Danio rerio: one gene and its partner. Each later gene encodes a partner of the first gene's protein in a complex. Links are inferred from orthologs where the notes say so. Each region holds a gene or a part of one and is shown on either strand. Other genes may lie near its edges.

Region 1 (3,500 bases):
TGATCTTATTGAGGGGTGACCCAGTGGCACAGCAGGTATTGCTGTCGCCTCACAGCAAGAAGGTCGCTGGTTCGAGCCTCTGCTGGATCAGTTAGCGTTTCTGTGTGGAGTTTGCACGTTCTCCCTGCGTTCGTGTGGGTTTCCTCCGGTTTCCCCCATAGTCCAAAGACATGCGGTGCAGGTGAATTGGGTAGGCTAAATTGTCCGTAGTATATGAGTGTGAATGAGTGTGGATGGATGTTTCCCAGAGATGGGTTGCAGTTGAAAGGGCATCCGCTGTGTAAAACAAAAAGTTGGCAGTTCATTCCGCTGTGGCGACCCCAGATTAATAAAGGGACTAAGCCAACAAGAAAATAAATGACTGAATGATCTTATTGACCTTATGCTTTCACATAAGAGCAGCTACAGCCATTAGTACATTTATTGGTTCAAGATTTTATTTTTATTTTATGTTGCAAACTTTTAATTCATTTGTTGTATGTTTTCACCTGCCTCCTTTTGCTAACATGAACAGTATTTTAATTTAACATTTTTTTACAATTTATTGTAAGATTGCATTTGCACACATATTGCAAAATGGTCAATGGAAAATTATAAACTTGAGCGACAAGGCAGTACTGACAATACTGTGCATCTCTCACACATCTTTATTGCCAAACCCTGATTACTGTAATCAATGTATTTTGGGACACCACATATAATCGCTAATATATGAAACTTTACATTTTTTATTTTGTTCATGCAACATATATCACGTGTCAAACTCGTTTTGCACAGTTTGGCTTTAACACCTGATCAAACTAATGGAGTCCTTCAGGCTTGTTTTAAACCCCTAGGTAAGTGTATTGAAGGAAGGTTGGAAATAGTTTGTGCTGGGCTGCTGAGTTTGGCACCCCTAAGATATGTATTATCATATTCCTAGTTGGAAATTCTAAAACTATTGCAGAATAGAGCTTACTTTTGCATTGCAAAATAAGGTCAATAGAAACGGTTTAAAAAGTTTTGAGAATGTGCCCATGTATGCTTTTGAGTGAAACTGTCAATTACTTTGTCGTTCAGCCAATCATTGTGTATTTATATGTGCATATGTGTAGCCCCTACAGCTCCAGTGACGTGGCGCAGAGGGAAGTTGCTGGGTCAGGGTGCTTTTGGAAGGGTTTATCTGTGCTATGATGTGGATACGGGCAGAGAACTTGCAGCAAAACAGGTTCATTTTGACCCTGCCAGTCCAGAGACCAGCAAGGTACATGTTTTTTTTTTTTTTGTCGTATTTATTTAATCATGCTTTTATTTATACTTTTATTATTTATTTATTTATGCATTTATTTATTTGTTTATTTATTTATTCATGCATTTATTTTTTACATTTTTTTATTTATTTATACATTTTTTATCAGTGCATTCATTTTTTATTAATTGTTTATTTATTTATGCATTTATATCTTTACTTTTATGCATTTATATATTTATTTATTTATGCATTTATATTTTTACTTGTTTATTTATTTATTCTTGCATTTTTTTATTTGTTTATTTATGCATCATTTTTTACTTATTAATTTATGCATTTATAATTTTTTTTACTTATTTTTAATTATTCATTTATTTATTTATTTATGCATTTATTTGTAGATTTATTTATTTGTTTTTCTTTTTATTTATTATGAATGAGATTCATAATACTAAAAGAATTAAAGTTTTCATTTTATTTCTTTTATTGTTCTTTTTCTTTTCTTTCTCTTTTTTTTCTTTTAATTTTCTTTCCTTTGTTGTTTTTCTCTGAGATTACCAGCATGTTTTTTTCTCCCCCCTGATTTATCTTTCTTTCTTGAACTTCTCCCCCTCTCTTCAAATCCTTTCCTGTCTGCCATTGCAAAAACATGCACTCTCGCTTCCTGTATCTGTGTGTGATTGTGTATTTGGTTCAGAGGGGGTTTGAGGCGAGGGGAAGCGGGGTAGTCTAACAAAGCATTTCTCATTGATCATGCCCCCAATTGACACACAAACACACACACAGACATGCACAAAAGCAAAAAGCACCTCCTGGATGTTCAATCTCTCTTATCTACATGTTAACAGTTTGGCATTAGTGTGTTGTGGTTTGTGTGTTTTTAGTTGATCTTCCACCTTCATGCACAGTCATCTCCCTCATAGCCCCCTCTGGTCATAGCTGCTCTGCTCAGCTGTGGTCGTGTCATGACTCTTGCCCCTCTTTCTGCAGGAGGTGAGTGCTTTAGAGTGTGAGATACAGCTGTTGAAAAACCTGCATCATGAACGAATCGTCCAGTACTACGGCTGCCTTAGAGACCACAATGAGAAGACGCTTACCATTTTCATGGAGTATATGCCCGGGGTGAGTTTGATAAAAGAACCACATTTATTAAGCGTTTGGAAATCAATTAGGACGAGTCGTTGTTGGAAAAAAAAAATCTATGGAAACTACTACTATAGTGTTCCTGAGGAAAAATTAACCATATACATCTTTGAATGTGGGTGAGTATGCAATGACATAGTTTCCTTTTTTGGTGCACTGTAGCTGTAATGCCAGATCTCTTTATTGTATGGGTTGAAATGTGTCACGGAACACCTGTTTAATAACAATACGGCTGTTGTGATATAGAGTTCAGTGTGATCTTTCCACCCCTCAGGGTTCAGTCAAAGACCAGCTGAAGGCTTATGGGGCTTTGACGGAGAATGTGACACGCAAATATACCAGACAGATTCTGGAAGGCATGTCCTACCTGCACAGCAACATGATCGTCCACAGGGACATCAAAGGTTTGTAGTCTGTGTGTTGTGTGTGTGTGTGTGCGTGAGTGTTTTAGTAGTACAACAATACAGACTTCTCATGGTTTCTGGGTCACGATTTTGGCACGATTTTCGGTTTATATGTCCAGTAAGACAAAACAATATAGCAAAGATAATACTAAAATAAGCAATGCTTTCAGGCTTTTCATGTATCTAGCAATAGTTTTCAGTTATATAAACGAATAAATATCATATCACAGATTCATGGAATTGATTCTTACCTCCAGCATAATCAAGCTTTTAAGCTTACTGAAATGTTTTTGACAATAGCTCAACAATGTATTGCTTTAAAATAGAAAACAGACATTGATGTACTAATTGGACTGTGGATCTCAAAAGTGCACCTCAACTGTATACCATTGGAGAAGATCACATATTCTTTGAGAGGAAAGGGGAATTATTAAAAAATAATTGGAATCCATTTTGAATTATATTAAAGCTGTACCACATGATTTAATATGACAAAATAGTTTTCTCCATTGGTTTAAACTGTATATCCTCCGTTTGTTTATTTATTTATTTATTTGTTTTATGTACTGTGTGTATGGTTTACTTTAGTTTGTTTGTTGCTTAATTTCAATGTTCTGTATTGTTAAGTTTTGAAAAAGCTAAATAAAAATCTATATTTCTAAGAAAAATCTAATAAAAAATAACACTGCATACTATATCTTCAGTGTAAAAATTAAATAAAG
Region 2 (4,061 bases), on another chromosome or scaffold:
GGAGATTCACTTAAATCAGAAATGTCTGCTCTCTGAGTAGAACTAATGATTATAATGGGATATATAAGTAAGTGTTTATATATATAGAAAAATAGGTTCACATTTATAGTTTACCAGCTTGAATTTTTTACTTTTGAAAATTACAATGTGATGCTTATATTTATTTTATTAGGAAGAAATACTTACAGTTATTATATTAACTGTGTAATACCAGTTTATATACATCATACACATATTTAAAAAAATTGAGGTAAAGTTGGTTCACACATTCTGACTTTCTTTTTTATAAAATAAGTTCAGAAAAGTATTCTTTGCAAATACTAAATAAGGGAATCCTATTAGCAGTCAATGACTATCAAAGTACATTGTTCAGTCAATTAAACAGTGCTAATGTTGTTTTGTAGTTATACTTGCATGCAATTTCAGAACGAATATTCAAAGTAGCATGATAAACAATATAGGGAGCATGTCTCAAGTTGTTACTGAACATACATGCAAACACACAACTAACTTTACCTCATTATTATAAAATATTATTTTAGAAATATAAGCATGCCTGAATAATTTAAATGAAACACTAGAAAGTCTTTTAATTCTAGGTTCACAATCCTGAGCTGAAAATATATGAAGACCTTTTATCGTAAAGAGATAAAAGACAAAAAAGAGTGTTAAAAAAAACTAAAAATGGTTTTGATAGCAGTTTTTGGTCAGTTATCATTTCTGAATGGACTGTGGGAAAGTTGTTCTTATATTCTGACTTTCTTAATATTATATTTTCAGAAAAGTGTTCTTGGCCAATTCTAAATAGGGAAATCATATTAGCAGCCAATGACTATCAAAGTACATTGTTCAGTCAATTAAACTAATGTTGTTTTAAAGTCATTATTACATGCGATTTTTAGAACCAATTTCAAAGTAGCATGGTCAACAATATAAGGAGCATATTGCAAGTTTTAACTGAACCAATGTGTGAACAAAAAAACAACTTTACCTCGATATTATTTTTAAATGTAAGGAGGCTAAATGCATGCCTGGATAATTTTACTTGAAAACCAGAATGTCTTTTAATTCTAAATTCCCAATCCTGAGCTGAAAACAAATTAAGATATATACATTGTTTATGATAAAGAGATAAAAGACAAAGAGTGTGAAAAAACTAGCTTTGTTAGCAGTTTTTGGCTAGTTATCATTTCTGAACGGATTAAGGTAAATTTGTTTTCATATTCTGACTTTCTACTTAATATTACACTTTATCAGAAAAGTATTATTTGCCAATTATAAATAGGGAAATCATATTAGCAGCCAAAGACTATCAAAGAACAACATTGTTAACAATCAATTTAACAGTGCTAACGCTGTTTTGTAGTCACTTGCATGCGATTTCAGAATGAATATTCAAAGTAGCATGATAAACAATATAGGGAGCATGTCTCAAGTTGTCACTGAACATACATGCGAATATAAAACCAACTTTACCTCATTATTATTTAGGTTATTTAATATTACTTTAGAAATAACCATGCCTGAATAATTTAAATGAAACACTAGAAAGTCTTTGAATTCTAGGTTCACAATCCTGAGCTGAAAATATATTAGGACCTAGACATTTTTATCATTAAGAACTAAAAGACAGAGTTGAAAAAACTAAAGTGTTTTGTAAGCAGTTTTTGGTTAGTTCCATTTCTGAACAGATTGAGGTTAAGTGTTTTTTTATTCTGACTTTTTACTTAACATTATATTTTCAGAAAAGGATTTTTTTTTCCAACTCTAGATAATTACATCATGTTAGCAGCCAAATACTATCAAAGTAACGTTACAGAATTGTTCACAGTCAATTAAACAGTGCTAATGCGGTTTTGAAGTCATCCTAGTATGCTATTTCTGCCAGAATATTCAAAGTAGCATGGTAAACAATATAGGAACGGTGGCACAAGTTGTCACTGAGCAAATGTGTAAATAAAAAACAACTTTCCCTCAATGCTAAACGGACTGTTTTGAGGCTTTTAGTATTTAACGTTAACGTTACATAGCAAACCACGAAATCAACCTCCAGAGACCAGTATAGATTTTTCTACGTGGCCATACGGGGGCTCTGTACATCTCTGACTGAATATGAATACTTTACCAAAAGCCACCAAGAATCAGAAGGAAATGTCAAGCGCCAGATCTTTTACAATCACGGTAAAGTCACATGCTGAGAATCTCAGTGTTTATCTTTGGCCAGCGTAAGTAACTTGTATTCATGACTAAAGAGCGGCACCACTTATTTCCTTAATAATCCAGTTTAGTCACAGGATAACGAGTGGAAATTATTCTAAACATAACTTAAGGTATGAATACACACACAGATGTTTTAAAAGAGAGTTAACATTGTGTTAATTCGTGGTTAAGTTAGGCCAACACGTTTAAGCTACTAAGCAGTTTTTGTGTCGTACACGAGTAAACTCTGGTCACATTACAGCGTTAACTAACCTTTTTGACTTTCTTTACATCCTCCTCCATCTCTACGTACAAATGCTCTTCATTTTCGCTGTATTAGATGTGGTGATGTCCACGAATTCACTGCCATCTGCCTCCTACACGTCAACGGCGGCGCTTCGGCGATCTAACAAAACAAACCGACGATTCAGAATCACGTGCTCGTGGACCGTCAAGAAACGAGCGACGTTATTTGTCGAGGTAAAACTTGGAGTTTATGAAAAAAAGGACAGAGACCGAACAGATATAATAAAATAAAACAAAAACAGCAACAAACTTTTCAATCCTGCCGCCATTTTGGGCGTAGGACGTCTACCCATAGTGCCTTGCGAGACAAACAGAAAACCTCATCAGCACATACTATAAATACTTACGGTAAGTTATTATTAATAAACACAGAAGATGGGAAGTTTATATTACTCGTTGTAGCTTTGGGCTTTGCATTGTCTTTTCACTATGATTTAAAAGCAACTTTTTAAAGGGTTACCTTTAAAAATGGAGCAAACTTCTAAATTGTCCACAATATGACTAACAAGAAAATATAGCCTATAAGCTATTTAAAATGCCAAAATCAACTTAAGTTTTATGTTTGTAACAAGTAAAGTGACCATTCTAGTTTTAATCTTTTAGCAAAATGGTTTTAAAATTAAAAAAAAATTAAAATGTTTATAATTTATAGTGTATAACATAACTCAGAAAAGGTAACGTTATATGGCAAATATGTTTAGTAATTGTTATCATGTCTATATTACATGGTCATGTATTTTGTTAAAAAAACAATTATTATGCTGTTGTTATTATCAATATTGGTGAATTACTGGTTTGTAAACATTCAGGATGCGCACGCATCAAGGTTGCAGAAAAAAACAGGAGGGCTAGCATTTACAGCGAGGGAATGACATGCGGTGCGGGACAGAGTTTGTTGTTGTATTAGAGATTAGTTATATTGATATAAATGTATATATTATTTACACAATGCTTTTAGCGTAGTGCAACAGCTTGTCACCTAGTGATTAGCACAGTCATTCGGCAAAATTAACGTCATGGTCATGTGCAAGAAATAATGTTCCATGATTACCAGATTAAAAACTTTGTAGTGCTGGAAACCGAGGTTCTGCCTGGCCAAAGACAACAAAAGAAGACAGAACTGTACAAGGCCTGGGTAATCATCAACAAGCGAAACACCTGCATTCTGACAGCGAATCTGCACCTGTATGGCAGGGTATGTGAACTTTTTACATTTCATTCTAAGCATTCAGTGTCCGCAGTTTAATAAACAAATTTAACTGTTTTTGCTGAAATCATTGCTGCAATCAAAAACGAATAATGTGTATGAATCAGGATAGCGTAAACTTACCTGGTATAATTTGAGAACTGCAGAGTCGAGCAGATTTGATTAGGTCCTCACACCATTCAGCTCTTCTGATGGCTGTTAGCCAAAGACGTCTGCAGTTGGCATTAAAAGCAGTGTGGTGAACGGTAAAATTTAAGTTTTCTAATTTTGGACTTTCGATTTTGGCATCCTACAGCACAACAGGACATGCTTGCAACCGGTATTTATTGCAACCGGTATGCGCAGTTGA

The links.
Region 2: the proteins of map3k3 (region 1) and ccm2 are in contact, whole or in part, in a crystal structure (PDB 4Y5O), measured with the Homo sapiens proteins. The link is inferred for Danio rerio from reciprocal best matches to the Homo sapiens genes MAP3K3 and CCM2. Residues at the interface, in NP_002392.2 of Homo sapiens: Asp2, Glu3, Gln4, Ala6, Leu7, Ser9, Ile10, Met11, Asn12, Asp13, Leu14, Val15, Ala16, Leu17, Glu50, Asp82, His84, Met86, Asn88, Glu89, Leu90, Ser91, Ile92, Leu93, Arg117, Leu119, Leu121, Ser122, Gln123, Asp124; in NP_113631.1 of Homo sapiens: Leu299, Tyr302, Met303, Leu306, Arg307, Ser312, Gln313, Ile315, Gln316, Gln317, Phe318, Ala319, Ala320, Leu321, Leu322, His323, Glu324, Arg326, Glu333, Ile336, Asn337, Gln340, Leu341, Leu353, Phe356, Pro358.

The regions. Positions count from the first base shown.
Region 1 is NC_133178.1:30,612,536-30,616,035, reverse strand, and holds part of map3k3 (mitogen-activated protein kinase kinase kinase 3), read left to right. Parts: intron 1-1,094; coding exon 1,095-1,243; intron 1,244-2,221; coding exon 2,222-2,353; intron 2,354-2,648; coding exon 2,649-2,778; intron 2,779-3,500. UniProt on the Homo sapiens protein: Component of a protein kinase signal transduction cascade. Mediates activation of the NF-kappa-B, AP1 and DDIT3 transcriptional regulators.
Region 2 is NC_133195.1:21,253,549-21,257,609, forward strand, and holds the start of ccm2 (cerebral cavernous malformations protein 2 homolog), read right to left. Parts: upstream 2,801-4,061; 5' UTR 2,503-2,800; coding exon 2,473-2,502; intron 1-2,472. UniProt on the Homo sapiens protein: Component of the CCM signaling pathway which is a crucial regulator of heart and vessel formation and integrity. May act through the stabilization of endothelial cell junctions. May function as a scaffold protein for MAP2K3-MAP3K3 signaling.